Linked DNA regions of Schizosaccharomyces pombe. Changing the gene in region 3 together with the main gene of any one other region gives a genetic interaction. Each region holds a gene or a part of one and is shown on either strand. Other genes may lie near its edges. The genes, in order: cwf11, dre4, cdc5 and prp3.

Region 1 (8,675 bases), on a different chromosome or scaffold from region 3:
GTCAGGTACAGCAGCAAGGTCAGTTACCTCTTCTCTTTCTCGAAGCATAGGTTCCAAGTCCTGAAAGAAATTGTCGCGAGAAACATGCTTGGGTACAACGACTAGGGTATCTATGTCTGATCCAGGTCCATAAACGCCCAGTCTATAACTTCCGTACGTAAAAATTTTCCCCCCTGCCTCATTAGCCATCTTTTCGTTCATATGTTTGGCAAGTGATACTTTCTTTACAAATTCTGTCGTTATTTGTTGCAACTCATCAAGAACCTTTACTCTTTTTTCAGATTCGGCAGGAGATTCAAACAAGTTTTGGTTCTTCAACTCATTAATTAAAGCCGTATTCAAAGCATTTTCCTGTTCAGTAGCAGGTGCAGTACTAATTGGCGGTGTAATACCCCATTGCTTGGTAGTCATGCTTTGAAAACAAAAATTGGAGTCTTGAAAGGTAGCTGTTTTAAATTATCCTAACCTTTAAAAACAACTGGTTTAAAGCGTACTAATGCTAAATGTGTAGATCTGGTTAGCATTCGTTTAGGATTTAAGGCATAAATACGCAATTTCACAAAGTGCGTTATCTTATTATAATGTCAAAAAATTCATTTACAGTTGCACTGAGACATTTATTTCGATTAAATCAAATTTAATTTATCTGGTAAATTATACAATTGTTGCTGTTTATCATATATATCTTGACAGTGCACTATGTTCATTATCTGACAAACCGATTGCTCCTGGTTTTGTATTTAAAAGCTTACCCGTTAAATTCCATCCTTCAGATATGCATTTTTTTTGGTTGAATAAACTAGCGACTTGAAATGTAAAAATAATTTATGTTGCTGAGAAGTGTAAATGATTCAGAATCCACATCTATTTATTGGATTTACCGCAGTTGTAGGGAAACTGTCGAATTATTGATGACAAGTTCTCCAAAACTCTTTGCAAACAAGTTTCAATGTATGAAATTGATTCCAAACAGTAAAGAATTATTATGCTCATAAAGATTATCATAGCCATGTTTCGAGAGTTTAGATAAGCAGCCGAAATCTATGCAAACTGGCCTGCAAAAGACAACAAATCTTCGTCATTAAGATATTGGGCCATAATTTGAATTCCCATTGGAAGCCCATTGTTCAAAGTACCGAAAGGTATGCTAACGGATGGTATTCCAGCCATATTCGCTGGAACTAACATAGTATCTGAAAGATGACTATAAGAGGACGGGGTTTCAATGGGTTGACTGGAATTAAAAAAAGAAGGGGTAACTATGAAATCGATGTCACCCCTGGGATCATCGACAGAAAAGGAAGGTAGAAAAAAGTTTTTGTTGAATTCCAGCTGTATGGCTCGGCGAACGTATCGAGCCTTAGAAAACAAATCAGAGGAATTCCTATTTGTAAATATTAGTAACTACTTAGTAAATCAGTTATATCATACATTCTTGCTAGTGAATAAGCGCCTAGCAGTAGCCTCTTTTTCACTTCGTCTCCTAAAAAAAAAGAGCGTGCAGTAGATGAAATTATTTCCTCTTCGAACTTTTCATCTAAACAATTGCCAAATGCGATAGTATTATATTTAGCCAAATTTGAAGTCGCTTCTGCATAAGCCATTGTGGAATATACACTGTTAGCGTATAATGAAATTGGAAGCTGTATTTCTTGGACAAGATAACCATTTGATTTCAGAAGAGATATGAATTCATTCCACTTATCTAAAACGTTTGGATGAGTCTCAGAAACATTCCAGTCAATTGGAATTCCTATTTTAATTGGCTTCCGCGATAATTTTTTGTGCTGCTCTTTAACAAAATAACGAGCTTCTTTAGTTAAACAGGTTGAGTCATTTATGTCGGGATGGTCTAAAACATTAAATACTTTGGTAACGCCCTTAACATTATTTGCAGCGATACCCACTGTGTCAAAACTATTGGCAAAGGCAAGCATTCCATATCTCGAAATCCTGCCGAAAGATGGTTTAAAACCTACACAACCTACGTAAGCAGCAGGTAGACGGATTGATCCTCCTGTGTCTGAACCAACTGATGCATAACATATATCCGCCGCGATTGCAGCAGCAGCTCCTCCCGAGCTGCCCCCAACATCGTAATTACTATCCTTAACAACAGGATTAACAGTGCGACCAAAAAGATTGTTTTCGCTCTTGACTCCCATTGCAAACTCATCCATATTTGTTTTACCAAGAATAATACCGCCGGCTTTCTTCAAGCTTTCGACAATTGACGCATCAAACGGAGAATTGTAGTCTAGTTAAACCGCAATTAGTAACTGAAATATATTCTTATTGTCTACCCTTCAACATATTAGAGGCTGCCGTGGTTAAATTTGTCTTCGTGCAAATATTTTCCTTTACTGTAATCAGTTTCCATTTTAACGGAAGCTTCTTTTCCAGTGGTAATTTACTAATTTCAACAAATGAATCATATAGATATTCGGCACTATTTATTGAAGTTAAAGACTTAATTTTCGCATCATTTAGAATGATACTAGCATATTTAGCTGCAACTTCTTTTAATAAATTGTTATATTTATTACTCATTCGACCAATCAATCATTGGACGTTAACTTCGTGCAAATAATGTATTACCCAACTTGTTGTATAGTTGAATAAAGTAGTGAGCTATTATCGGTATGACACCTAAGACTTTTTCTGAGGGGATCAACTTTTTATTGTTTGTAAAGCTCACTATTTAGTTTTTTAAATAAGTTAATTATGCAAAAAAGCAATGAAATAAAATGACTTTAATCTTACAAATAATCATTAATTCAATACAACAAGCAAATAGTCTATATGAAGTAGGTTTTTATTTTAATTCGTATTTAACCTTTTTTTAGTCATTTCAACAACATAGTTTGAGAGATGAAGTAAATTTTCAATTTCAAATGTTTCAACGGAAGATCCGATTTTGTGAGAACTTGGATATATTTCTCCCGTGGTTAAAAGCAGCTTGTCAGGAGTCTTTTCAATTTCATTCCACAGTTTTTCAAGACCACGTGTAGAGCGAAAAAGGTCACGGTTGCACAATACGTACAGACCATATGAGCATGCTGAAAAGGCTTTATAAAATGTTTTTGGATTCCAATGATCAGAGGCCTCTTTAGATTCAACTGTCGTAAATATAACAAAGTTTACCCGTTTATCGCTTGGTAATTTTTCCACGGTACCTACAAAAGCAGGCTGACCAAAAAACGAGTTATGAGAACAGCGTACCGATATAATTTCATTTAAAAGGCTGACTTGACTCTCATAAAGCGTACAGATTACAATTTCGTTGGTGGGATAACCTAACATTCGCATGTACTGGAATAAGGCAACTGCGTACTCGGCTTCTCCAAGATTTTGCTTATAACCGCTAACGGGTTCTGTTTCTTGAGAACCTTTAAAAGCTCCCACATTAATAAATTGGACCTCATGTGCAAACCCCGAATTACCATAATCAAGTCTTTTATTGGGACTAGAATCCACAGTTTTGATGTCCAAAGGATAAATTGATGAACATAGAGAACTGATAGATTCTCTAACATTGTATTGCGTATTAAGGTCAATAATTCTGGATTTCAAATACCGCAAACGTTTGAAAAGTGAACCATTTGACGTATTATTTATATCCTGATTCCCAGAGGTAAGATATTGATTACCCAGAAGAACAAGGCGATCAAAACCAGTTGGTTCACAGTTTGAAAGTAGTATGCTAGTGATAGAGCTTTCACTTATATTTTGTGAGTTCATAACAATTAAATTGTTAAAGCAAAATCCCTTTTCTTTCAAAGTCCCTAAGCGTGTACTTAAGCTCGTCCAAGTGCATCCGATAATCCTAGATTGTTGGCATAATGCATACAATTCTTGATCTTCATAATATCTCAGTAATCCAAAAGGCCGGATCTCTTCCAGCTGTTGGAACATATATTCTAACTCCCCGTATAACTTTGTCGCATAATCGAAAAAATTATCTTTATTATACGTTTCTATCGGACGCTTAGATTTGTCACCGAAATACGAATGGAAAGGGAACCTGTTATAGGCATCCACAGAATCCTTATCATCTACCGTGTTCAAGTACTTTTCCCAAAGTCGCTTAATATAAGCATCCCTAAAATACAAAGCCGTATCTGGGCTGGCGTCATGAGAACCTGGAGCCTGGATTGAAGCAGCTAGGCGACCGATTTCTCGTAGAAGACCAGGAAGCTTAGATATCCAAGACGATAAAGTACCATAACGTTCCAACGTTTCGTCTTTTCCTTCATCAGATAGATATAATAGGTGCCCTTGGTGAAAACATCTAGCTTTTTCCAGTAAGGTAAACAAAGTATTCATAGAGAAATTGGAGTCAGAAAGTACAACGGTTCTATCATTGGGAGATGTGTCTTGTAAAACCTCTAGAAGTTTGCATACCAAAACATGTTTTCCACAACGAGTTGGACCATTAACCATAGTTAATCCTGGTTGAGATCCACGTAAAATCGATTCTAGCTGTTTGTCATTGTAAGTATATAATCGATTTGATGGTAGTAAAAAATGCCTATCAGATGCGGTAACATCAGCTGATATTTTGTTCTGATTAGTATAAAATTTGATTAGTAAAGATTCAGTTGATAAATTAGAAGGTACATGACAATTAGGAAGTACTGATTGCAACTGTTCGACTGTATTGAACAAGTTTCTAGCATAAATAGAATTAAGCCCAGCATTAGGAAAAGCACATATATCAGGCGTTCCAAAACCCAAAAATAAATCTTCGAACCATTTAGGAAATTCTTTAGCGCGATTAAGTAAAGATACAAGAATATTTAAGTCCAACCAATACTTATTTGCCTCAGGAGACAGTACCAAAGCAAAGTTGAACTTCAATTGCTTAGGGCGATATTCCCCCAACCCCGCAAGGGAATGATAATAAAATGGGCTTAGGTATACATTGATGGACTTGTTGTCAGAATCTGACTGCATATCGCTTTGAAACATTCCAACATCATCATTGCATATCGTCGCGATTGTAAAATCAGTCACCCCTTCTAAGGGGTCAAGCGCATTACCATGTAATAACTTGTACTCCATATCTTTAGAAATGTATATTAAGCAAAGAAAAGGGCTCTTGATGGAATTCTTTAAATCACGTAACGCTGAATGAAAAGGTCCAGGTCGACTTAAACCCATTTGACACTTTACAAATTGAGGTAAAACTTGACCGATTTGAGGTGGAGCAACGGAGGTAACTTTAAAGTTATTTAAAGAGAAAAAATTATCTTTGGTCAAATTCTTGGTCGCATTTTTAATTGATAGTCTCCTGTATTGTTCACTGAAATTTAAAAGTTCAGCATATAGTGACCTTAACAATAACTTTTTGTAAGCTTTACTCTGTTGTCTCATAAAAAAAGATATAGAAAGATATTGTATAGCAGTGTTTTGTAGTAGGAAGTAATTGGTCAAAGAGTTTTCTTGGTCCATCACGGATCGCTCACCAAGTACATCTTTCAAAGTAAAATTTATGATTTCATCATAATCATTTACCAATCTAGTCCTATCATACGTGTTAATAAAAACATTTTTTAAAAATTCGAAATCCACTTTTATAGCATATTTTTCGGGAAATGAAGTCCTCAAATAACATTTACTACACAAGGACTTAAGTGAATTGAAGGAAAGAAAAGACGTAATTTCCTCCAATTTTTGTCGCTGTTGTAAAGAGGTTTGTGTGCAAAATACCAGATCCCCTAATTCCTTCTGAAAATCCGAAAATAAAGTTAACTGTAAGTGGTAGTACACAAGCTCATCATTTCTGATTTTTTGTTCTTTCTCATATTCGTTACCTCTGGTATTATCAAAAGGGAATTTCAAAACATAGTTTAAGTCGTCTGTCATTTTTTTAAAAAGCTCATTACTGTCGTAATACAAAGACATTCTTAATGCGGTATAAAAACAACTGTCTTCTATTACGGGATGAGCAAAGCGACGTGTGGGAAATGCGGATAGTAAAACCAAAGACATATTGATAATTGCTAAAAGGGGGGTTACTTTCGCTTCTTGTTTTTCAGTTTGAGCGTAGCTAATCGATTTAATAAGCAGAGAATGAATCCAGCGGGAAAGTAAATTATGTAAAGGGAACTTTTCAACGATAGACGGTCGTTTTTCCTTATAAGAATCAAAGGCTTTCGTCAGAGAGCTTGAGTCATGTAGTAAATATTTTACTTTATCAAGATTATCAAGCGAATTTAAAATAGAAATGTTCGTTAACTGGTAAACAAGTTTCCTTAATTTCTCTATATTCGAAAACTGAAAACAGAGAGTAATGAATTGAATCATGTAAACCACTTCTGATAAATTTAAGGATAAAGAGACTTCAATTACTTTTTCAAAAAATAATTGAAACCGATTTTCATCAATGAGGTCCCATGTAATATATTCATATTTGGATTTGTATAATAGAAGCATACAAGTTAAGTTTATATGGTTCAATGACATCTCAGTATTAACCCTCTGCCAAAGGAAATTCTCAAAAAGCTTTAACTCATGTAACAGACTAAGTACTTGCTTAGCATCTTTACTTACAATGACAGCTTCGAGGATGCATTGTAGCATAGTTTCTTGAAATTCTACACCTTCATTTTGACCCCAATTCGAATTTGCATAATTAATGATTTGTTTTTTTTTGTTTTTATACAGAACCATTTAATAGAGAAAGGGATATTAGCAATATCACAAGTGTTGTGAACTTGGTGGTTAGCGTCAGAATCTTTAACAGCGATTCTTATTTGTTCTCCTCTATGAGCTTTGAGAAAAATGTAAAGTAAAAAACTTAAAGTAATACTTCGAAAATAAAATTTAGATAATCAACACTCGTTTTTGGTATTTTACCAAAGTTCCTAAGTTTAGACTTTTTTTAATAAAACTTGGATTTTTTGAGAACACTAAATATTAACTTGTATATCTATTACAAATAATTAATCGTCATAAAAATATTACTTTTTCAATCGTGTTTCTATTGATCTCCTCTCTGCGTATACTAAGAATTAGGTGCAAAAGTACAGCAGGTGCTTGTTTGGTCACCACCAACCACATTTAATAATTTTGTTTAATTGAGAGAATGATGCTAATTTAAGCTGTATATAATGAAAGAATTTCCTGGGTTGAAAAGCAGGAATGAAGAAATTCGCAATAAAGCGGCAAATGATCTTTATGAATATGTTATAGCTTATTCTCGAGAATTATCGGGCGAAGCTTTAGTTCAGTTTAACAATGATGTTAACAAGTACGTTTATACTTTAATTCACAGTACCGATCCACTCGATCGTCTGGCAGGCGTAACTGCCATAAATCGTCTAATTGATTATGAAGGAGAAGATACTACAAGGATTACTAGATTTGCAAATTATTTGCGTATTATTCTTCCAGGAACTGACCAAAAAGCCACCGTTCTTGCTGCAAAAGCTTTAGGGAGACTTGCAGTTCCTGGAGGTGCTCTAACTTCTGAATTTGTGAACTTCGAAGTTAAACGCGCTTTGGAATGGCTTCAAGGAGAACGTAATGAAAATCGTAGATATGCAGCAGTGCTTATACTTAAGGAGCTTGCCAAAAATACGTCTACATTAATCTATGCTCATATCGATTCAATTTTTGAGCTTTTATGGCATGGACTTCGGGATCCAAAAGTTACTATTCGAATAGCTTCGGCTGATGCGTTGAGTGAGTTCTTGAAAATCGTTAGGCAAAGGGATTCATCCATCCGTCTCCAATGGTATACAAGTATTCTCAATGAAGCTCAACGTGGTGTTGCACAGGGTTCTTCTGATTACATTCATGGTAGTTTACTAGTATATCGCCAATTATTTTTAAAAGCTGGAATGTTTATGCATGAGAGGTATCGAGAAGTATCGGACATTATATTGCAATTCAGAGATCACAAAGATTTGCTTATTCGCAAAACCGTTACAGAATTGATTGCTACACTCGCAGCTTATAATCCAGATGAATTTGTTTCCAATTATTTACACGTTTGTATGCTCCATCTACTTAATCTATTAAAAAAAGAAAATGTTAAGATGTTGGCGTTTGCCACTATTGGAAAAGTTGCCGTGGCTATTACTAATAGCATAATCCCATATCTTGACCCCATATGCGATTCAATCAAGGAAAGTCTAAAAATCCATATCCGTAATAAAAGTGCTTCGGATGCTGCAATTTTTCAATGCATTAGCCTACTTTCTATAGCACTAGGACAAGCCTTTTCAAACTATGCGTATGACCTCTTTGACTTAATATTTGCAAGCGGACTTTCTGAGGCTTCTTACCGTGCTCTCTCAGATCTGGCCCATAATATACCTCCATTATTACCAGTCATACAGGAACGACTATTAGATATGCTCAGCAAAATTCTAAGTGGTCGTCCTTTTATTCCTCCAGGATGTCCTCCCCAATATGTAGCAAGATCTTTAAAATCTTCAAAGAGTGCTTCCCTGAAGACAGGATTTTTTCCCAATGACGTCTATATTTTGGCTCTAAAAGTTTTGGGAAATTTTGACTTCTCCGGTTATATTCTTAATGAATTTGTGAAGGATTGTGTAGTTGTATACCTTGAAAACAATGACCCGGAAGTACGCAAAACCGCCTCCATAACCTGCTCCCAACTATTTGCTCGTGATCCTATTTTATCGCAGACTAGTGATCATGCG
Region 2 (5,908 bases), 2.3 Mb from region 3:
TGTTTTTCAGAGGTTTTATTATCTAACGTCGTAGTTTGCTTTTGAGACTTCCTCTTAAAGATCAATGTGATTTTGTTACGAAACAACTAGCAATTGCCTTGGCTCCTTCCATGTTTGGAAGTAATGCTGTAGAACTTGTTTATTACCTTGCATACCACAGTGATCGCATTTTTGGAACAGTAGAGGAATTGCCGACTCCGGTTTCCCCTGCGAATTCCAATAATGATAAACAGTTAGATGAATCGAAATTCCAAGCAATTGCCATGAAAGAAATGCCGGAAAGACACCCTAAGGAAATTTTACCTGGTCAAATAGAACGAGAGGCATACGAGGATTTACGACGCAAATATCATCTGACTCTTGCAAGGTTGGCTCAAATGACTCGATTAAATGAAGATTCTAAAAAGTCTATCCCTCTGTTGTATGATCGCTTCAACCATGATCTTAAGCTTATAAAGCAATCAGTTCAAGCCAGTTTAATTAGAAAACAATGTGAACTAGATACCGCAAAGTGGACTCTTGAAGAGTATGAATCCAAGCTAAACGCTAAGGAAGGTTGTCAAACCAACATATTTATATAGCCAACTAGTCTATACTACATCGATTATTAGATTATTTGTTTTACTATTCCTTTTTTAGATATCAATAGTTATTTTTTTTATCCTTCAATATGTAAGTGAAAGTTAATAATACTCATCAAAAAGTTTTCTCTTATTTTTATAAATAGTATAGAATTGGAATATGCTACACCGTTTAAAATCTTCAGTTATGAAAACTAAGCATATAGTTTAGAACATATGAGAGTCATTGACATTCCATTGGAAATACTATAATTTTAAATATGCCGGAATGGTGTACTCAAGTAGAAATTGACGTTATGAAGGGAATGAGAAAGAAAGGTCTAAGTATAAAAGAAACTTGAAAAAAGCCTTTTTTAAAACGGCATAAGAATTCATAAGATAATGATTTAGCGTAGATAAAAAGAAAGCAAGCCTATATTGAGACGGAATAAGGCTCATGATGGAACTTAGTTTGCTTCAAATTGTTTACAAAAACCATGAGCTAATTACAAGGAGATTAAAGGGTAACGACGAAAGCTATAAAAAACAGCTATACACTTAAAGTGTTTTCCCAATGAATTGAGTAAGGCAATATTAAGATTGCCGCTGGGTCTCTTGGTACTTATTGAGCACTTCATTTATTTCATCTGACTTCCATATTTTGCAAACCATTTTGTTTTTCGTGGTATCCTTTGTTATTGTTGCAAATTCAATTTTTTCATGAGTTAGGGAGTTACTGTCCAACGTTTTACTCAAAAATTTCACGGCCATAGCAGAAGCCTCATCTAAGTTTATATCATCCTTATACTCCTGTCGCATTAAGCTTTGAACACTAGTACTATTTCCTCCGATACTATTTGCTTGCCAGCTTCCGTAATTTCCAGATGGATTAGATTGGAATAGCTGATATCCACGAATATGATCCCATCCAGCATATAAGAATGAAACACCGAATGGACGTAGCCCACCATACTGTGTATAACCTTGTTTGAGGTCACAAACGCGACGAACTAATTGCTCACAAGGCATCTCTTCATTAAAAGTCTGCAAGTATTGTTGCCCAACCCTTCTAGCGTAGTTAATTAGGATGTTTGCATCTGCGGTAAGCCCTGCCACAGCACATAACATATTGTCTCCTATATGATATAACTTTTCTGCGGATTCTTCTTGTTCTAATAGTTTGCTGGTAACCTTCTTTTCAGCAGCTAAAACAATTCCATCTTTAGCTACAATCCCTAAAGCAACGCCAGCATGGTTGATCGCTTCCAATGCATATTCAACCTGGTATAAACGACCTTCAGGTGAAAAAATAGTCGTGCGAGAATCGTAGCTTCTTGACATAATGAATTTGGTTGATGACAAGTTCGAAAATGCGCGAAGCACTAGATCACGAACATTAATGAGGTCTACCGAAGTGCGATTACCACACTTGCTTTATTCTTTATGTGCTTACTACACTACTATAACAGGACTGACTTTTACCTGTCTTCTAATACAATTAATCTATTATGATTTAAATTAGTATGTTGTTAATCCGCTTATTTTTACAAGCTATGCTGTACAACAAATGTCTTTATAAATGAGAGCTATTTTTACGATAATCAATTTACCTTTAGTACTTTCATATCCTCAAGATATAAAGTTATCAGTGTAGGTTGCTAATAATTAAAATCTGCTTGTAAAAATATTTGAACCAGAGGAGTCAATACTAGTGTAAAAATGTAGCTGCTTACAAATACTTCCAGCCTGCCGTTTAACGATTTACCACGAGTTATGAATTGCTCGTAAATTTATGCGGGTTGTTGTAAATTGACAATATTAAAATTGAAGTTCTCGAAAATGTTTTATTATATTGTACTTGGTAGACCATTTCATTAACTTCTTATTTGTTCTAAAGGAAATACTTGGGAAGACGCTACGTGCGGTGCTGTTATGAGGTTTTTGTAGTATATTCAATAATGTTAACTACACCTATGAATTTATGCAATTTATACAGATTTTTTTTAATAGTTTGTAGAAATTTTTTTGTAATTGACATAACTATTCAGCTGGATTTTGCAAAACTGTTCTATCTATTCTCACACACACGCCCACTGAATACTACCTAACATAGTGTCGAACTTAACTTCTTGATTGTACATATCTTAATGTCACAGCCTTTGCCTCCTGGATGGACTGAACATAAAGGTAAATTTAATGAGCAGTTTATTTGCTAACTCATAGCACCCAGTGGGATTCCTTATTACTGGAATGCCGAGTTAAAAAAAAGCACTTACCAGCGCCCAAGTTTCATTGAGAAAAACCATTCATCTTCTGTTACTGCTTCGCAAGCTTCTTTGGCGTTTAACACAAGCGAAAAGCTGTTTGTTAATGAAAATGCTGAAGAGCGCAAAAATTCTCGAGATTTGAGGAAACAATTACCGGACAGACCAAAATTCAAGTATGTGAGGCGTAAAATTTTGTTATTAACTTTTTTTTTAGAAAAAGAATTCCTAATAATGATTCATGGGTGGTTGTTTTTACTAAGAAAAATCGGTATTTCTTTCACAATTTAAAAAGCCATGAATCATATTGGGAACCTCCTTTGGAAATTAGTAAAGACTTGAAGATATTACGTCTTCCGATACGGAAGCAAATCAGTAAAGATTCCTCACAGAGTCAGAACGTTGATAGTGGTAAAACCAACCACGAAGAAATACATGAATCTAGGCATTTACAAACAGAGATTGAAGAGCCCTCTGGTTTAGAAGAATCATCGGAGGAATCCGTTTTATATTCTGAAGAATTTTATGAAAAATCTGATGAAGAAGAGGATGAGGAAAAATCACACTCCGCTGAAGAGTTGGAGTTTGGTGAGGAAGATATTATGTATCAACTTCAACAATTGGATGATGAAACAGTTTCCTATGATATACAGGAACAAGCTACAAATTTATCTACTGATGATGCTAGAAGAGTATTTACTGAACTTTTGAAGGACAAAAACATCGGGGCATACCAACCGTGGGAACTAGTTTATCCAAAGTTATTAGACGATGATCGTTTTTACGTATTAGATTCGGGAGAGAGACGAAAAGAGGTGTTTGAGGAATATTGCAAGTCGGTGGTTTCTACCAAAAAAATTACGCGTAGAAAAAATACCTTATCGGATTTTTGGACTTTGCTTCATTCACTTCCATCTACCTTGCTATGGCCTCAATTTAAACGTAAATATAGAAAGTCGTCGACTCTTCAAATTCCAGGATATTCGGAACGTGATTTTGAGAAACTTTTCCGTGAGTTTCAGATTCTACGAAAACAGCCTATGCAGGACAAACTGTTAAATTTTAAAAAGCTATGCAAGTCAAAAACTGTAGATCCTAAAAACCCCGACGAATTCACAGAAAGCATACTTAATGACACACGATATGCCGTACTGACGCGTGAAGAACTGGATTCCTTGGCTTGTTCAAGTAATTAATGAATTTTTTATTAAATAGGTGCTTAGAGAATTTCTCATTTATTAATTTATTTGGAAAAAAATTATTTTTTTTCGCGTACTCTTTTAAGCAAGTAGTTTGTCGACGGGTGAGTTTCTTTGTTTACCATCTACTACAATTATGAAATTTCATCCGACGCGTCCTTTGGGTTATATTTCGAGTTTTTTATTATTATTTCTTTTTTCTTTACTAGTGAGTCTACCGGAGATGTAGAATCATTTATGAAATATTCGAATGTGGCCTTTTCCGAGGGGTTAGCCGGTTTTGATTCTTTAGCTCACGTATATCAAGCACTCTTGAAAAAATCCACTTGCTATCAGGAAGTTGCTGCAACTTTAATTTCCAAATGTAGCTTATTGAATACTGAGTTGACTATCGATAATCGAATTCACTCAGCCATTCAAATGACTCTTTGCGATTTTGAACGGTCTCAAATTTTGGCTCCTTCAGAATGCGTTCGTGGCTCGCAAAGTGAATGTGTATCGAAGTTGGAGTCAACTTCTACCTGGTGGCTTTCATTCACTAGTCACTTTCATGATGTAAATCACTTATGCCGGTTAGCAAATCTGGAAATGCAAAAAGGTAAACTTTAAATAAACTCTAACAAACTAACAATATAACAAGAATTATCAATCGAGGTGAATATGAATGTAACTCTTGTGCAAAAGCAATTTTTGGAAATGGTAATTTTGCATTTGCGAAACTTTGAGAGCGTGACAGATAAAATGAATCAACGTATTGATAAGTTTGATGGAAAATTTAATTCAGTTATCGAAAATTCTTTCAAAGATATCAACTTTCGTGTCAACCAAGAAATTATGGGCTTAGTCGAATTGCAAAACCATCAACAGGAAGGAATGGTACAACAAAAAGAAATACTAAGTACAATCAAACAACTAAAATCGGAAATATTTGATATAAACTCCTTTTTCGCTAATTTTATTGAAGAAAGTGCTGGTTATTCCAATAGTTTAATTGAAAAATTGAATGAAAAGTTTACCTCAGAAAATGCAATTGCTCTTTCCGCTATCGGCAAATATACCAGTGAGTTCTCTGCTTTTATGGAAAAAAGGATAAAAAATTTAATTACTACAACCGAGGATTCATTACAGCAATCAGTGCAATCCAACATCGATTTTGTTAACTCAGGTTTTCAACCGTTATACGATCTTACAATTCAATTGAAAGAGGAGCTTCAATCATTGAAACGTTTATCCTCTGAGCAACAGGTTAGTTTTACTTAATGGTTTTTATATTCATCGTTATTGCTTTGTCTAACAGTACTGTATAGAATTTGCAACACGAACAGATACTTCAATGGAAGTCAGACTTCTTAAATGTCAGTAAAGATCACCTTAAGGTACTTCAACAGTTAAGGCCTCTTATTGACATTGTTGAGAAGTTTATGAATGTATATTTTAAAGGATTGTCCAACATTATTAGCAGTTTTGCTTTTATAGGCTTCACGCTGTTCGCTACCTTAAGCAGTTTATTTTTCAAAGTTTTAAAAATACATCGCCGACCGATTATTGTATTCGGCTCCTTATCAATAATCTTTATTCATATTTACTGCTTTAAGATTACCTCATGGGTGAATCTTTACGGATGGATCACTTGCACTATTGCGCGAACTCTCTCGTTTATTAAATTAAATATCCGTACTTTCTATCTGACAGCATTTTTATGTGCTTTATTAAATTTTCTGCGATATCTAAAATACCGAAATTCCAAAAAAGATACGGAGCTATCTCTTTTCCTTCCAGCACCAGAGGAGTGCAATATATATCATAATGAACATATTCAAGTTCAAGAAGACAATTATCTATGCCCAATAGAAAACTCGTTAATCGACCTCTTTGGCTCTGAAAA
Region 3 (5,798 bases):
CCTAGTATAAAGTCGAGCGAGAGGAAGACCAAACCCGAAGCCCTATGCATGTTTGTTAGTATTATATATTTCAACGATCAATAATAAAATGTTTCACTTACAGCCATAGGAGTAGTAGAATTTGCGCTAACGATATCGTGAGGATCATCTGTCAATGTAGGAGAGGCAGTTGTAAACATGTATGACCAAACTAAAGGGATATTTCGACGGGATATACCGCCTCCTTCATCAGAGATTTTGATGGTTATATCCTCTTGTCCTTTTGCAACAATGACCTTTATGGGAGGAAAGAAATCACTGTCTACACCATGAAATTCTACGGTTGCACGAAGACTGTTTTTGAGAATTTCAAAGACTGCGTGATTTAAATGGGACTCTACATACATCATTTCAAGTGAAGGATCGCAAATAATTTGAATCTCAGGTGCTTCAAACAATCCGTACGCAAGCCTGCAAATGTACTTGGCATTTTCAGCAGCACCTTCTATTATTTGATAAATATTTGCACGTGTACTTATCACACCAACGTAATTCTCACGCGGCGGTTCAGAGACAAGTGCTATATATTGACCTAACAGCATTCGAATTCCAATACGAGACATGTAAAACCTATCCAAAAATATTTGAATACTGTTGTCAATTTGGTTAGTCTTCCTTCGGTATTCTTGTATGTCCAAAGCAATTTCGACTGCAACGTTATCGTGTCTAGTTCGAATGGTATTTAAAAGGTATGCAAAATTACTATTAAATTTTAACAAAGATTCGGGCCAATTACAATCAACGCCATTATCTTGGTCAGAAAAATCTGTTTCAAAATAGCGACCTTTTGAAGAGTCTAAATGAGTATTTGCAAGCGAGGGATTATGAAGAATTTCAGAGTCCATTAAACTTGACCTCCATTTCGGGGCATTGTGATATCGAGCGTGCTTTGGAAGACATTTCGGTAGTTCCACTCCTTTCAGTTCAATAATTTCCTTCAACCAGTTAGCTTTGTTTGATTTCTGGTTATGTTTCGACAAGTATCGAACATGCAAATATACACATTTGACCTACCTCCATAGATCTACCGTAAGCAGCCTTTACGGAAGATATACGCTTCATACTTCGTAGCATCGGTGAAAGATTCTGCAGGTCTTGGATGCGCCGAGCCAAGCGAATGGGCAATTCATCTCGCAAAAACAAGCCAGCCCGGAAAAGTGTTCCTGGTGTAGGGTTCTTGCCTTCATAATAAAAATTAAGCAGTCAGTATAAAATTTCTAGTATGAAGTAATCTAAGAAAAATTAACTGAGCAAAAATTCTTACCAAAATACACTAATTGCTTTAAAGACAACCCTGTTTGAGGATATTGAGCCAAGAGATTGACTTTCTCCTGTAAAGTTTTCCCGAGCACTGACATTTCTTTTAAACCTTAAGTTTTTCTTTAAATTCGATAATGATAAATAGAACAATTGTTCAATCGTAAACTTTGTTGGTTTGTCTAACAAATAGATGATAACCCATGGACGAGCATAAAAAAAGCGGCAATTTGCAAAATATAACCTAAAGAAAGTAAAAGATGAGCTTCAGAAACAAACAAATAAAGCAGTTTCTTAATGTTTTCACACAGAATCTAAGAAAGCTTTTGCTAAACTAATGCATTCATATGTTTGCAAAGTACCCATAAAAATAATGAACTTGAGTGTATTCCATTAAAATTGAAATGCGTGATACATTATACTTCTTTTGCATTGCTTATTTTATTTTTCACAATACTGCTAGCTACACAGTTTGTTATCTAATTTAAGGATACGTAGAACTGCGGTGAGTTTTCCTTGTGGTCTATTATATTACAATACACAGGTCGTATGAGTAGCAACTGAGTATAGGTATTGTATTAACTAGGTTATAAAATGTTACCTATCACTAATATAGCTTATAACTGAACCTCGTTCCTCAGTTCAGTTAAAACTCTATTTATAATATTTCTAAATAGTTGCTATCAACGGGTATCTATGTATATAGACGGATAGTTACCCGTGATGATCAATAGACGGATCTTAATTAGTATTCCAACATATGACATATAGTGATATGTAACGTAGTGTAGTATTGCTGACAAATACGCGGTCATTAGGTTACTTAACGATACACATAATACTGCAATGCTTGTAGTTACTTGTTGATATACCAACCATAAATAAGAGGAAGAGTATGGTAGATCCACCTTCAAGATAAACATATTTGATCATTGCTATATCCTGCTTGTCAAATATTTTCTTAATACTCAACGGTTAGGAATATTCAAAAAAATTTAATGTTGTCCAACGATTTTGCGCTATTATATTTTTGCGATAAAGAAACATGTGCTACATTGAAATAATTTAAGGTAAATATGTGATACGTAGCAAACTGGAAAAAACAATAAAATGAATATTTGGTTTGACTATTAGTGTGTTTAAGAAACTGTTCTTTTAAAAGTTAAAACTACTTTAAATATAAAATATAATTTTGGTCACTTTCTGCTGCACTCGACATTTACCTCAATTTCCCATCCACCCTGTTTCGTCGCAAGTTGTTACAGTTACTACAAACCTCCATTACCACGCTTTCTGACAATTGTCAGGGTTTTGGCGAATATTTAGAAAATGGTTGTTTTAAAAGGAGGTTTGTAACTTTTTTTATTGTATTTTCTAACATAATTTAGGTGCCTGGAAAAATACAGAGGTAAAGACTATGATTTTAACCTTCTACCACGCGCAATGTTTTTGTTACTAACTTATTGGTAAACAGGATGAAATCTTAAAGGTATTTTTTTATTTATTAGTTACATATTTCCTTTAATATTTAGAATACTAACGCAAATTCCTAGGCTGCTGTCAGTAAATACGGTAAAAACCAATGGGCCCGCATAAGTTCATTGCTGGTTCGCAAAACTCCTAAACAATGTAAAGCTCGTTGGTATGAATGGATCGATCCAAGCATTAAAAAGGTATGTTAAACATGTAATCACTATTTGTTATTTGACAAGACCTATTGTTAACATTTCCTTCACATTTAGACTGAATGGAGTCGTGAAGAGGACGAAAAATTATTACACTTAGCTAAGTTACTTCCTACACAGTGGCGGACGATTGCTCCAATTGTAGGTCGGACGGCCACTCAATGTTTAGAACGCTATCAAAAACTTCTTGATGATTTGGAAGCGAAAGAGAACGAGCAGTTGGGATTGATCAGTGGAGAAGGTGCAGAAGCAGCTGCGCCTGTTAACGATCCAAATTCCCGGCTTCGTTTTGGCGAAGCAGAGCCCAATTTAGAAACCCTACCTGCACTCCCTGATGCCATTGACATGGATGAAGACGAAAAAGAGATGTTGAGTGAAGCACGTGCACGTTTAGCAAACACACAAGGAAAGAAAGCCAAACGAAAGGATAGAGAAAAGCAGCTTGAATTAACTAGAAGATTGTCACATCTCCAAAAGCGAAGAGAATTGAAGGCAGCTGGAATCAAGTATGTGTTATTATTATTACTTTATTGTATTGTTTTTCCTTCATTATGTTAATCTATAACTTAGTATAAAGCTCTTCCGTCGAAAGAAGAATGAAATGGATTATAACGCTTCTATTCCATTTGAAAAAAAGCCAGCGATTGGTTTTTATGATACCTCAGAAGAGGACAGGCAAAATTTTCGGGAAAAGCGAGAAGCGGACCAGAAGATAATTGAAAATGGAATACGGAATAATGAAATGGAATCCGAAGGTCGAAAATTTGGTCATTTTGAAAAGCCAAAACCTATTGATAGAGTAAAAAAGCCCAACAAAGATGCCCAAGAAGAAAAAATGCGACGTCTTGCCGAGGCTGAGCAGATGAGCAAGAGGCGGAAGTTGAATTTACCTAGTCCTACTGTGTCTCAAGATGAACTGGATAAAGTAGTGAAACTAGGCTTTGCAGGCGATCGTGCTCGCGCTATGACTGATACGACTCCAGATGCTAATTACAGTACTAATTTGTTAGGAAAGTATACACAAATTGAACGAGCTACTCCATTGAGAACACCAATTAGTGGTGAACTTGAGGGAAGAGAGGATTCAGTTACAATTGAAGTTAGAAATCAATTGATGAGGAACCGCGAACAATCTTCTCTCTTGGGTCAGGAAAGTATACCTTTACAACCTGGTGGTACTGGTTACACAGGAGTTACTCCCAGTCATGCAGCTAATGGCTCAGCTTTGGCAGCACCTCAAGCAACTCCTTTTAGAACACCACGTGACACATTTTCTATTAATGCAGCTGCGGAGCGAGCAGGACGATTAGCAAGTGAAAGAGAAAATAAAATTCGATTGAAGGCTTTGCGAGAATTGCTTGCAAAACTACCTAAACCTAAAAACGACTATGAACTAATGGAGCCTCGATTTGCGGACGAAACTGATGTTGAAGCTACTGTTGGAGTGCTTGAAGAAGACGCAACAGACCGAGAACGTCGTATCCAAGAACGTATTGCAGAAAAAGAAAGGTTGGCAAAAGCGAGGAGGTCACAGGTTATTCAAAGAGATTTGATTCGACCATCTGTAACACAACCAGAAAAATGGAAGCGTTCACTTGAAAATGAAGATCCGACTGCAAATGTTTTATTGAAAGAAATGATTGCTTTGATTTCATCGGACGCCATTAATTATCCGTTTGGAAATTCAAAAGTGAAAGGAACGGCTAACAAAGTGCCTGATTTGTCAAATGAAGAAATTGAGAGGTGTAGATTGTTACTAAAGAAAGAGATAGGGCAACTAGAAAGTGACGATTATATCCAATTCGAGAAGGAATTTTTGGAAACGTACAGTGCACTTCACAACACCTCAAGTTTGTTGCCAGGCTTGGTAATCTACGAGGAAGACGATGAAGACGTTGAAGCCGCTGAAAAGTTTTATACGAACGACATTCAACGAGATTTAGCTAAGAAAGCATTGGAATGTAACAAGTTGGAAAATCGGGTTTATGATTTGGTTAGATCTTCATATGAGCAACGTAATTTTTTGATAAAGAAAATCTCGCATGCTTGGAAGGCTTTGCAAACAGAAAGGAAAAATTTAACGTGCTACGAATTTCTATACAATCAGGAGCGATTAGCTCTACCTAATAGGCTTGAAGCAGCTGAAATAGAGCTAAGCAAAATGCAACAAATCGAGGCGTATGCTCAACAAGATTATGCTAGGGTTACTGGACAAAATTAAACTTCACTTCACTTTGTTTTAAATAATTGTCATAGCTTATCATTCATAGTGTATATTATCATGCCTGAAATAAAACGAAAGTTTTATAAAAAGATAATCCAAGCTAGAGAAAAGTAGAAAAGGAATAAAGGGTATACTGCCAACAATTTTTTGTTGGATAGATTAGAATTTTGTAAAACACCCATAGCAGCGAACAATGTCCAGGCATACATTGCAACAATCACAGGTATGCGTATAAATATTAAGGGAACGAATGCACAAACTATAGAAGCAATCATTAAAGGGAAAGAGGAGTACCCCAATATACACATAGATTGAAAAATGCTAATGTTGGCCCCTAGTAATTTTATATTTAAAGAACAAACCGCTTCCCCAAACCATATGAGCGCGACAACGACTGTAAAAACAGATTCTCGTTCAATCTTGTCAGTAGACAAGGCAAGTGCTAAAGCAATTACGAGGGAAAAAATCAAAGGACCCCACAAGTCCCAGTCGCGTAGTACTTGAGCATTTTTGGGATACAAAACATAGACGAGTTTTTCACCAATAGCTCTAAATTCATTAAATAATGTAACACGAATGGGTTCGTCCAGAGA
Region 4 (10,258 bases), 1.7 Mb from region 3:
AACATCAAATGAAATTGGTTGAATAACCTCTTCATTATAATAATTTATATAGCGATATTTGCGCCCCTGCTTGCCACTTTTTCTTTTGTGTATATTTTTTTAAATAGTAGTATAGCGCACAAGTTTCATCTGTAATACTATTAATATGCATACTGAGCAAGATATGTTCGCTGGTGGAGGAATCTTACAAAAGCCGTTATAATTTGGCCTAATTAAATAAATCACTGTTGTACTATTATAGTGAAAAATGACAAGCGTCTGCATGAATGCGAATTTATATCCTTTCAGTCTATAGTTGCCTTGTGATAGAATTAACTCATACAGTGTGTCACGTTTAAAGCAACTAAAAAGGCATAGTGGTAAGAAGGCGAAAACATACTAGTCAGGTATTCTTTTCTAGCTACTTTAAAAAAGCTTCCATTTCGTGGCTGTTGTCGAGTATGCAAATAACTGAAATGTCAATTGTTGGAACATGAATGACAATCATGCTGAATAATTGTAACCACACAATTCATTTTTGTACTATGCACATTGACCACTTCTTATTTTCCTCTTTGGTGTTTGTACAGTTAAATTTTGTTCGCCATACATCTCCTTAAATGGTATAGCGATAAGCACCGACAGCTAGAAATATGTCAACTATTATAATGTGATGTACGCAAATGTTAGTAGAATCTTACATTTACTGTTTTCCTTCTGCTTTTTCTATGGATGATGAATGTAGCTAAGAATCAGTTTTACGTTAATCTGTAATCACAAACCGCTCATACAAAAGAAGTAATCTCAACATTCCTGAATCCTCGCGAACCTTAACTTAAACGATATAGCGTATTGCATAAAACAATGGTTTAGGCTATTTTACTGTATAGTTTCGGATTGCGTTATTATGTAAATAACAAAGAAACTTGTTTGCATTGTTTTGAATGTTAAATACTTGGTCTTTTGCCATAATATATATACAATACGTATTAATACTTCGGTACATTCTACCAAAACCAAAGCGCTTATCGCAAATATTATTTTTTTTCACTTGTAGAAGGAAACTCATATCGGAAGGTTGTGAATTGAATTGATAGTTTATTATAAAGGCCTGCTGACTTGAACAAAGGTCTACGCCCATTTCAGTTTGATACAGATATGCCCCGTGTCGTATGACTACCATATGTAATAGCTTGGGATCTTGAAAACTTTAGGAATGAACCAGGACGACAATGGCAAAAATGTGGTTAGCAAGGTGTCAGATTTGACATCTTGCAGTGATTTCAGTACCTCAAGTCCGGTTCCTTGCCTAAATCCGCTGTCTCATGAAAATAATAGAATTGGTATGTTTTTTTTGAAGCTCACGGCTTTACTTCTTTTTTAATTTGTACTCTTTTCATTTTACTAATATAAAGAAGACTTAATTCGTGATCTGTTGGCTTCCTTATCCAAAGAAGGGGTAGTTGCTGTTTACAATCACGTTCGTTCTCTGTTATTTACAGATTTCACAGAAGTATGAAGTTTTCAATTCCCTGTATAATATAACTAATATCCGTTAATGTAGGTATTTCCTGAAGAGGTTAGTTTGAGGGTGTTTAGTTACTTAGATCAGCTTGATCTATGTAAGTGCAAGCTTATGTCAAAGCGCTGGAAGCGTCTATTGGAAGATCCTGGAATTTGGAAGGCTTTATATATGCAAAAGGGTTGGTTTGTAAATGAAAATGTGCTAAATGAATTTGAAGCTTGGAGAAGGACACACAAGTTTCCTCAACCAAGATTCGAAAATTTTCTAAAGCAGCAAAATATCATAGGACCCTATGGTACAATGTTTCTACCGCAACAGTTTATCTTCGACTCCAACGGCCGGCCCTTGTTAAACTGGTCCTATCTATACAAAGAACACGCCCATTTGGATAGTAATTGGAGACATGGTAGATTTCTAGTATCTACATTCAATAACCCCTCTATACGCTTCCCTGCAGACCAGGATTTTCGTGCTACATTGGATAGTGTTTATTGTGTTCAATATGATGACGAAATCATGGTCAGCGGGTCTAAAGATCGAACAGTAAGTGTGTGGGATGTAAATTCTCGATTTATTCTTTATAAATTATACGGCCATTCTGGAAGCGTCCTGTGTTTGGACTTTTGTAGACGAAGAAATCTTCTTGTTTCTGGTTCTTCTGATTCAACAATTATTATATGGGATTGGCAAAACCGACGCCCATTAAAAGTTTATTTCGGACATACAGATAATGTGCTAGGTGTCGTTGTATCCGAAAATTACATTATATCTTCTTCAAGGGACCACACAGCTCGAGTATGGAGGTTAGATGCCACCTCCCCTGCTGAAGCTTGTATGCATGTTTTGCGTGGTCATCTTGCTTCTGTAAATTCTGTACAATATTCTTCGAAAACTGGATTAATTGTCACAGCAAGCAGCGATCGCACTCTACGCACTTGGGACATAACTACTGGCCATTGCATTCGCATTATTCATGCTCATCAACGTGGAATAGCATGTGCTCAATATAATGGTAAATTTATTGTTTCAGGCTCTTCGGACCTTACAATTAGGATATTTGAAGCAAGTTCCGGTAAACTGCTTCGTATGCTTCAAGGTCACGAAGATTTGATCCGCACTGTGCGATTTAATGATGAAAAAATTGTTTCAGGCGGTTACGATGGCACTGTTCGAATTTGGAATTTCAACACTGGCGAGCAACACTGTGTATTGCATAATAGTAGAAATTCTCGTGTGTTCGGTCTGCAGTTTGACCACAGACGTATTATTGCATGTACTCATAGTAGCGAGATATTGGTTTGGAATTTTGACGATGGATTGGATTGTACATTTTTTTAGCTACTCTCTTACTTATTATTCAATGGCGAAAAGAATACCAATTTGCTAGTTTTAACCTTCCCATCCTTTGCTCAGACCTGGGCAGTTCCTCTCAATATCGTAGTATATTAATTTTTTTTAATGAAATAGACTCCATTGTTAACATGTCTGCTTAGTTTTTGAATACAAGTATCGCAACAAACTATACTTAGGCGGTATGTGCCACCACACTCCTTGAATGGACCAACTAGGTTAAAGATTGAAGGACACAAAAAACTGTCAAGTTTTTTTACTATATGCATTTTTTTGAATTTAAGCGTTAATGTAAAGTTCACAGTTTATATTTAGACCACGAATCTGAGTTTTTCAAAGTTTACACGCACAGTCGTTGTACAAATTCGTATTCCCAGCTTTGCAAATTAAACTACTGCTTTCAATTAACTGATGGATCGTAACAAGAGGCGTTTAGAATCGTCTCAATTGAGGGAAAGTTCTTCGCCGAATTCTCAAAATAAGCCTAACGCTGTATGTTTCAAAAATATAAAACTAATGGACGAATATCTAATTCAATATAGATGGAAGAAATTAAAAGAAGACGTTTACAATTAGAGCAGCGTCTTGCACAACAAGCTCAAGTGCCTTGGGAAAAACGCTCTGAAAATGGGAATAATGCTGGAATGGAAACGATACAAAATCGTATATCAGAGCTTAAGGAAAAGACAGCCAAGAGATTTGTAAGTTTTTTTATTTTTGTTATTTGCAGTTGCTAATCGTTTGTAGAATGCCAATATACCCAAATCTGAAGGCTTGTTCAGAGATGATAGTAATGGTGCCAAAGGGGGATTAAAAGTTGGAATCCATCCAGTGCTTTTAGATGGTAACATTCAAAACACAATTTTAACACCTGAAAATCGTAAACGAACTGCTTCTTTTTCGACAAAGGGTGTTTCTTTATCGCAGCACCAACTATTGAAACCACCTGCTATTACAGAACAAAATCCTTTTCTTGATACAGCCCCTACTCCTAGATTAGAGGATTCACCATTTTATGATCCTCGAACGAAGGAATCACGGAAAACTAGGGGTTCAAGGAATTTGCATTTAAACGAATCTGGCAAGTTTATAGAAGAAGCTAATCAAGCTCGTCGACAGGCCAGATTGGAGGATCTCAAAAAAAGAATAGCTTTACACTCGCATAAGGCAGGGATTGAAGATGAACTTGACATTACGAGCAAGTCTATTGGAAGAGATACAATTCCCAACATTGAATGGTGGGACTTACCCTTTATAAAGGATTATAATGACTATGGTGATGAAAATAACTGGCTAATTGATGGTCCACAATCAATTATCAACTCAGCTATTCAACATCCTATACCTGTTCTCCCTCCTTATGCAAAAAACCAACCGTCATCTCATTCCGTCTTCTTAACTAAAAAGGTAAATTATTTGAAAGTTGATTAATTGCTGATTATTTTTTAGGAGCAAAAGAAAATAAGAAGACAGACTCGGGCTGAAGCTCGAAAGGAAAAACAAGACCGTCAGTTACTTGGAATTGAACCTCCAGAGCCACCGAAAGTCAAGCTTTCTAATTTAATGCACGTTTTAGGAGATGATGCTATAAAAGACCCTACTAAAATAGAAGCAGAAGTTCGAAAGCAGGTTGAAGAAAGACGTCTTCGACATGAGCGAGAGAATGAGGAACGGAAATTAACTCCGGAGGAGCGAAAAGAGAAGGCATTCCGTAAGAAAGATGAGGATTCAGCTGCCGGTCTACGTTGTTTGGTATTTCGGTATGTATCTACAACTATTGCATCTCTGTTTATGTTTTGTGTAAATATGTATTTTGGCTAATTTACTGTACTAACTTATTTAGTATTAAATACCTTGCTCATAGGCCTCATCGTTTGAAAATTGACCTTAATGCGAAACAATGGGGAGCTACCGGTGTGTGTATCTTGAATGCGAATTTTAATTTAGTAATTTTTGAAGCTGGACAAAAAGCTATCAAAAAATTAAAAAGACTAATGCTTGAAAGAATCGACTGGACTGATACTTCAAGAAATTCCATTATAGCACAAGGAAATAAATTAGTGGATACTGAAGGACGGGAATTAAATTATACAGAAAACACATGCAATTTAGTATGGGAAGGAGAAATTGGTAGGCGAGCTTTTCGTTACTGGTCGTTTAGAAGTTGTCCATCTGAAAACGACGCAAAGAGTTACTTAGAAGAACAAGGAGGAGCTGAGCATTTTTGGATGTTAGCAAAATCCTGGTCTGAAAATGTTTAAAAATCTGATAAAAAATTTTTATTATATATATTTTTGAATGATATTTTAATTAATTACTCCTCTTCGCTTTGTTCATCCTCGGAAACAGCTTGACCGCATTGTCTAAGCAATTCCTTGTCTTTAGTTCTCTTCGACTCTAATTCTTCAACTATCAGCAACCAATATTCATCAGCTTCCTTGAGTTTTTTCTCTAACTCTTTATTTTTACTCTCTAAATCTGAAATTGTTCGGTTGTCACTGTCCTTCAATGATTGCATGTTTAACGACGCGTTTTGCAAGCCAATAATGTCAACCTTTAACCTCTCAATCTCTTCGTCACGCGCATTTAACTTCTCATTGGCTTCGGCTAATGCTTGAGAAACTTCTTTAAACTTCTCGTTATTAACGCTTTTTTCTTTATTCTGGTCATCATTTGATACGCTCTTAAGAGAATCGTTTTCACTTTTAACCGTTTTTAGTTCTTTGCTTAAAGTTGAAGCTGTTTTCGTCGCTGCCTCCAAATCTTTTTCCAGTGAAGAAATTTTTTCAGTATGTTCTTTGGCAAGTTTGTTACCAAAATTAATTTTCTCCTGTAAATTGCTGCACTTCTGCTTTGCTAATTTTAACTCATTAGCTTGATTTTTATTGATAGATTCCATTGAACTCAATTCATCAGCAGCAGCAGATATTCTCTCGTTCAAGGTTTCAATTTGGTTTTTGTCTTGATTCAACTGCGATTGCAGCTCTTGCAAACGTGTAGATTCCTCGCTAAGTTTATTCTTCAAATCCGAAATTATGTTTTCTTTGTTACCAAGATTATCATTCAGTGCTTTCTTGGACAATTCAGCTTCACGAATTGTATTTTTGAAGGACTCTGTATCGGCATTCTTCTTATTGAGCTTTTCAGTAAGCAAATTAAGGTCATTTTCTAGCTTTTTGTTTTTGGATTCTAATGCAGCCAGAGAATTATTCAGTGACTTCGACTTTTCTAACTCAGATAACAAATCCCTATTTTTGGAGCTGATTATTCCAAACTGGTTTTTTATATCATCCAACTGTTTGGTAAGTTTTGAATGTTCCTCGATGAAATCTTTGATTTCGGATTCGTGACCTTCTCTCAAAACTTGCATTTCCTCCTCCATTTGTTTACAATTCGACTTCGTATAATCTAGTTCAATTCTCAAATCATATAATTTTTGCTGATTATCTAATAACTCTTCATGGTATTTTTCTGCCAGTTGTGTTTGTTCTTCTAGATTTGTTTTGCTAGTCTTGAGACTTTCATTCAACTTCTCTTCTTGAATAGATCTTTCTTTGACAGAAAGGTCTAATGCTTCTTTAGTGTTATCAATCTCTTCCCTCAAACTTTTCAATTGCTTTTGTGCTTCGTCAAACGCATCCAATGTATTGATTTCACCAATTTTAGTATTGAATGCGTCAGCGGCGTCGTCTATAGCGTGCTTAAGGCGGTAAAAATTATCCTTAAAGAAATTCACAAATGTAGTGTCAAAGAGGATGTCATTGCAATTACCATCTTCTGCTTCATTGACAGGAACGTGATCTCGTATAAGTTCATCCTGCGAAGCCGTTGTAGCCTATTAATGAACACGTCGCGCTTGACAGCAGAAGTGATTGCATTGTAGACATCAGATTTAGATACCGGAGACTCTATTGGACAATAATAGTAAACCAATGATAAGAATACAGCTATCATGCCTTGAATAACGGAATTTGCTGAAGACGATTCATCCATTAGCGCCGTCAAAAATGTTTGCAAAATGCTACTTTCCGACAAAAAGTCTTTGACACTATCAGGATTACCATAAACCAGAGCGATTAATAGTGTTAGATAACCAACACAATTTTGAAGCGCGTTCTCATGTCTTAAAGTAGCTATTAACTTGGTAGATACGCATTGAATAAAGGTGACTTTGTCTTCACTTTCGGAATCCTCGTCATTGTCCATATCTTGGAACAAAGGAATCGAGCACAAAAGATATTTTCTCTGGTCATTATCAATAACAAGGTAGGTAAGGATTGTGCTAGTGAACCAATTATCATACTGATCTTGATCGGACAAATGTACTAAATCCAAATATCCTTGAATTATATTGAGCCGATTATCTTGTTTATGGGTGTATGCATGAATAATTTGCTTTAAAAACTTCGATGAAAGCTCATCATTTTCGGAGGTTAATGACCTTAGGAAAAAAGCCACGGAATAGCGATGTGAAGGTGAAATAGAAGAAAGAAAGAGATAATCAAACAAACACGTCAAAACATCGGTATTTTTTATATCAAAAAAAGTAGAGTCGACAAAACTATTTTGAGCTCGAGCATTAGAATATACGACGTGCGCTAAAGTTATCCAGCTAATTTTTTGAACGTCAAAGAATAATAAATCAGGGTGAGTAGCAAGTGTGAGTAAAACATCAATGCCGTGATTGGAGACAACAGCATTTTGATTAGCAATACTAGAAGATAAGCCAATTGGTACTAATGATTGAAGAGCATATAAGGCTTCTATAACACACTGTACACGAGAAGTGTCCCAAGTTCCATCAACAAAAGTGTCAACGGACAAAAGCTTAAGTAAAGAAGGAATGTGGTTGGACTCACGGAAATAATTTTGGTTAGAAATGTTATCTTTAAGTAGAACGTTCAGAAATTTCAAGGCTTCTAGTGCTATTATACCACCATCGACACCACCTTCATTTTCTAGCAATGAAAATAATGTCTCAAAAGCGTTTTCAAATACCACCAACTTCTGGATGCTTGTGCAGTCCTTCACCAATTCTGACAAAAAATAAAGATCTGCATTTCGAACTGGCTCAATGGAGTCTCGAAGTGGAACCATTATACTGGAGATAGCAGAAGGAAATGTTTGAAGACAATCTTTCAATTCAGTGGGCCGGCATGATAAAATAGCAGAGAACAATTCAACAGAATATAGACGAACATAGAAATCTTTGTGGGATATGCTTTGCAAAAGACATTGAATATTGTCTTGGTTCAGGATAAACTGATCTGCTATCCACAACCCAGTATCTGAAGCTCTTGAGTCGTCATCGTGTCGCGTCAAAATTAAGCATGTTTCTAAAGTAACTTTTAAAAGTTCAGGATCATCATAGTCTCTGTGTAAAGATTGAATTATGCCTTTTAAGCCATGAGCAGCCACGAGCTAAATTTGTTAGTCCCAATCGAACAAAATTAAATAAAAAAGCAACCTCAAACTAGTATTTAAAAAAATCATACCTCCTTAAACTCTCTCGCAAAGCTCTTAATTCCGAGAGCAGCAGCTTTTCGATCTTCAAAAAGCGTAGCATGTTCCAACCGATCACAGAGCTTCGATATCGTTTCATCCGCCTGCTGAACTTTGGGAGGTGATAGAATCACATTGTAACTTTTATGAAAAATATCCATCAAGTGAGCGAATGCACGCAAAGGCAAACAGCAGGATTTCAGCTGTCAGAAGTTCCCCAATATAAAAGTAGTTAGCCCTCGCTTATAAGAAATTATTAGAAACTGCAATGCATTACGCTATGTTCAATGTAAACAAAGCATTTCTCCCGGACCACACGACAAACGTGAATTTACTTAAAAATCTGAGAACAACTAGGAAAAGCTAATTCTGAACCAATTTTATATATATTTTCGGACCCATGCCATTTAGGAGTGAATTAAAGACAATTGAATTACAGTAATACGTTCATAATTTCTTTTATTTAAGATAGATTTACACAAAAAATCTAAATAGTAACGTTGCTGTTATTCAAACGTATTTTCATTGCTTCGCAAGTTCATCTTTGTCGCTAATTCAGGCTTAAATTACTATAAATTATTTGGGATTACTTTATATGACTAGTCGAAAGGAGCAGCTGGATGCCTTTTTATCGAGAACTTTGTCAGAAACTATAGCTCACATTCCTTTGGAAAAGTTCGCACAATGTTTTCCTTCCATGAAAAAGGGGAAAGTTATAGCAGTCATCCATCAGCAGCTGATTGAGTTCTTTGAGAAATCGTGTAAACAAGAGTACGCAAACCTGATTAAAGAAAGAGATTTAAACAAAAAATTGGATATGCTAGATGAATGCATTCATGATGCTGAATTTCGCAAATTGCATGGAGAGTCAGAGGTTGACATTAGTAATAAACAGCCTCAAGAAATTCTAAAAGCACATTTGTATTCTCATAAAAGAGAACTTCTTGATAAGCTTAATCAGGATCTGTTGGATATTGACAAAGAAAATGAAGGGTTATCGACACAGATCGCGGCGGGAAGAAAAAGCAACTGAAGATTGTATATCCAGAATGCAATCGTTAATTCAAAAATTGGAGAAAACAGTTTATGGAATGAATGAAAAAAATTTAGCTAAAGAAGCACATGATACACTTAATGATCTACTTCCATACATCCAAAACCCTTCTTCTACATGGACTAATGCACTCAACGAACAAGGAAATATAGAACGTTGAAAGAAGTAAATTTCTAATCAGTTGCATAATTATATGCGAACAAAACTATATGATTTTTGGAACTCACAACAATAATAGTACTAATTAAGTAGCATTTTGACATCGTACTTAGCTTCAGACCAGTCTTGGTCTGTACCACATAACTAAGTTTGCAATCCCAACTTAAGAAAAACAAAATGGAAAAAGAAACACGCAATCTATGTTTCGTCACTTTTACTCAAAAACATTCCAACGCAAAAAATCTAATCGAATGAGTTAGTAACACTTTCTGGTTTACTTGGCATTTAATATTCATACGTGAGCTGCACCTGTACCCATCAGGATTTTTTTCAAGGTAAAGCTGATGATAATCTTCGGCATCCCACCATTTACCAGCTGGAAGAATTTGGGTTACAATTTTCTTATTAGGATAATGCTTTGCCTGCACCTCGTTCATGACTCTTTTAGCAATGGTTGCCTGTTCAGGATTTGTAGTAAAGATTGCGGAACGATACTGAGTACCAATGTCATTACCCTGCTGATTAGACGTAGTGGGATCGTGCATGGCAAAGAAAAATTCAATAATCTTATCGTAACTAGTCAATTTTTCATCGAATTCAATCTTTAAGGCTTCCGCATGATTAGTAGTATTAGTACAAACTTCTTTGTATGTAGGATCTGCAGTGATTCCTCCCGTATATCCTACAGA

Evidence for each region.
Region 1: mutations in cdc5 (region 3) and cwf11 impair growth when combined (synthetic growth defect), as found in Schizosaccharomyces pombe (one study listed by BioGRID).
Region 2: mutations in cdc5 (region 3) and dre4 are lethal when combined (synthetic lethality), as found in Schizosaccharomyces pombe (one study listed by BioGRID).
Region 4: mutations in cdc5 (region 3) and prp3 impair growth when combined (synthetic growth defect), as found in Schizosaccharomyces pombe (one study listed by BioGRID).

What each region holds. Positions count from the first base shown.
Region 1 is NC_003423.3:920,725-929,399, reverse strand, and holds cwf11 (protein Cwf11), read right to left. Parts: upstream 6,729-8,675; 5' UTR 6,676-6,728; coding exon 2,821-6,675; 3' UTR 2,759-2,820; downstream 1-2,758. Other genes in the region: mRNA cleavage and polyadenylation specificity factor poly(A) polymerase Pla1, read right to left, coding at 1-411; gta1 (glutamyl-tRNA amidotransferase alpha subunit), read right to left, coding at 1,042-1,384, 1,432-2,257, 2,304-2,550; TORC1 serine/threonine protein kinase Tor2, read left to right, coding at 7,116-8,675. UniProt on the Schizosaccharomyces pombe protein: Involved in mRNA splicing where it associates with cdc5 and the other cwf proteins as part of the spliceosome.
Region 2 is NC_003424.3:423,323-429,230, forward strand, and holds dre4 (splicing-associated factor Dre4), read left to right. Parts: upstream 1-2,655; 5' UTR 2,656-2,707; coding exon 2,708-2,747; exon of another isoform or gene 2,748-2,783; coding exon 2,784-3,000; exon of another isoform or gene 3,001-3,041; coding exon 3,042-4,020; 3' UTR 4,021-4,093; downstream 4,094-5,908. Other genes in the region: RhoGEF Gef2, read left to right, coding at 35-581; pre9 (proteasome core particle subunit alpha 3), read right to left, coding at 1,155-1,901; nuclear membrane protein Tht1, read left to right, coding at 4,261-4,621, 4,664-5,268, 5,331-5,908. UniProt on the Schizosaccharomyces pombe protein: Component of the spliceosome involved in mRNA processing.
Region 3 is NC_003424.3:2,692,133-2,697,930, forward strand, and holds cdc5 (splicing factor Cdc5), read left to right. Parts: upstream 1-2,566; 5' UTR 2,567-2,625; coding exon 2,626-2,644; exon of another isoform or gene 2,645-2,684; coding exon 2,685-2,704; exon of another isoform or gene 2,705-2,761; intron 2,762-2,770; coding exon 2,771-2,785; exon of another isoform or gene 2,786-2,849; coding exon 2,850-2,969; exon of another isoform or gene 2,970-3,038; coding exon 3,039-3,487; exon of another isoform or gene 3,488-3,551; coding exon 3,552-5,202; 3' UTR 5,203-5,285; downstream 5,286-5,798. Other genes in the region: [pyruvate dehydrogenase (acetyl-transferring)] kinase Pkp1, read right to left, coding at 1-42, 102-974, 1,054-1,220, 1,304-1,397; SPOM_SPAC644.13C (Rab GTPase-binding protein), read right to left, coding at 5,286-5,798. UniProt on the Schizosaccharomyces pombe protein: Involved in mRNA splicing and cell cycle control.
Region 4 is NC_003424.3:4,400,822-4,411,079, forward strand, and holds prp3 (U4/U5/U6 small nuclear ribonucleoprotein complex subunit Prp3), read left to right. Parts: upstream 1-3,057; 5' UTR 3,058-3,265; coding exon 3,266-3,346; exon of another isoform or gene 3,347-3,396; coding exon 3,397-3,555; exon of another isoform or gene 3,556-3,601; coding exon 3,602-4,261; intron 4,262-4,303; coding exon 4,304-4,614; intron 4,615-4,697; coding exon 4,698-5,115; 3' UTR 5,116-5,168; coding exon of another isoform or gene 5,169-8,275; 3' UTR 8,276-8,349; coding exon of another isoform or gene 8,350-8,517; 3' UTR 8,518-8,775; downstream 8,776-10,258. Other genes in the region: F-box/WD repeat protein Pof11, read left to right, coding at 1,196-1,322, 1,398-1,492, 1,544-2,842; mxr1 (peptide methionine sulfoxide reductase), read right to left, coding at 9,784-9,812, 9,868-10,258. UniProt on the Schizosaccharomyces pombe protein: Participates in pre-mRNA splicing and in nuclear mRNA export. May play a role in the assembly of the U4/U5/U6 tri-snRNP complex.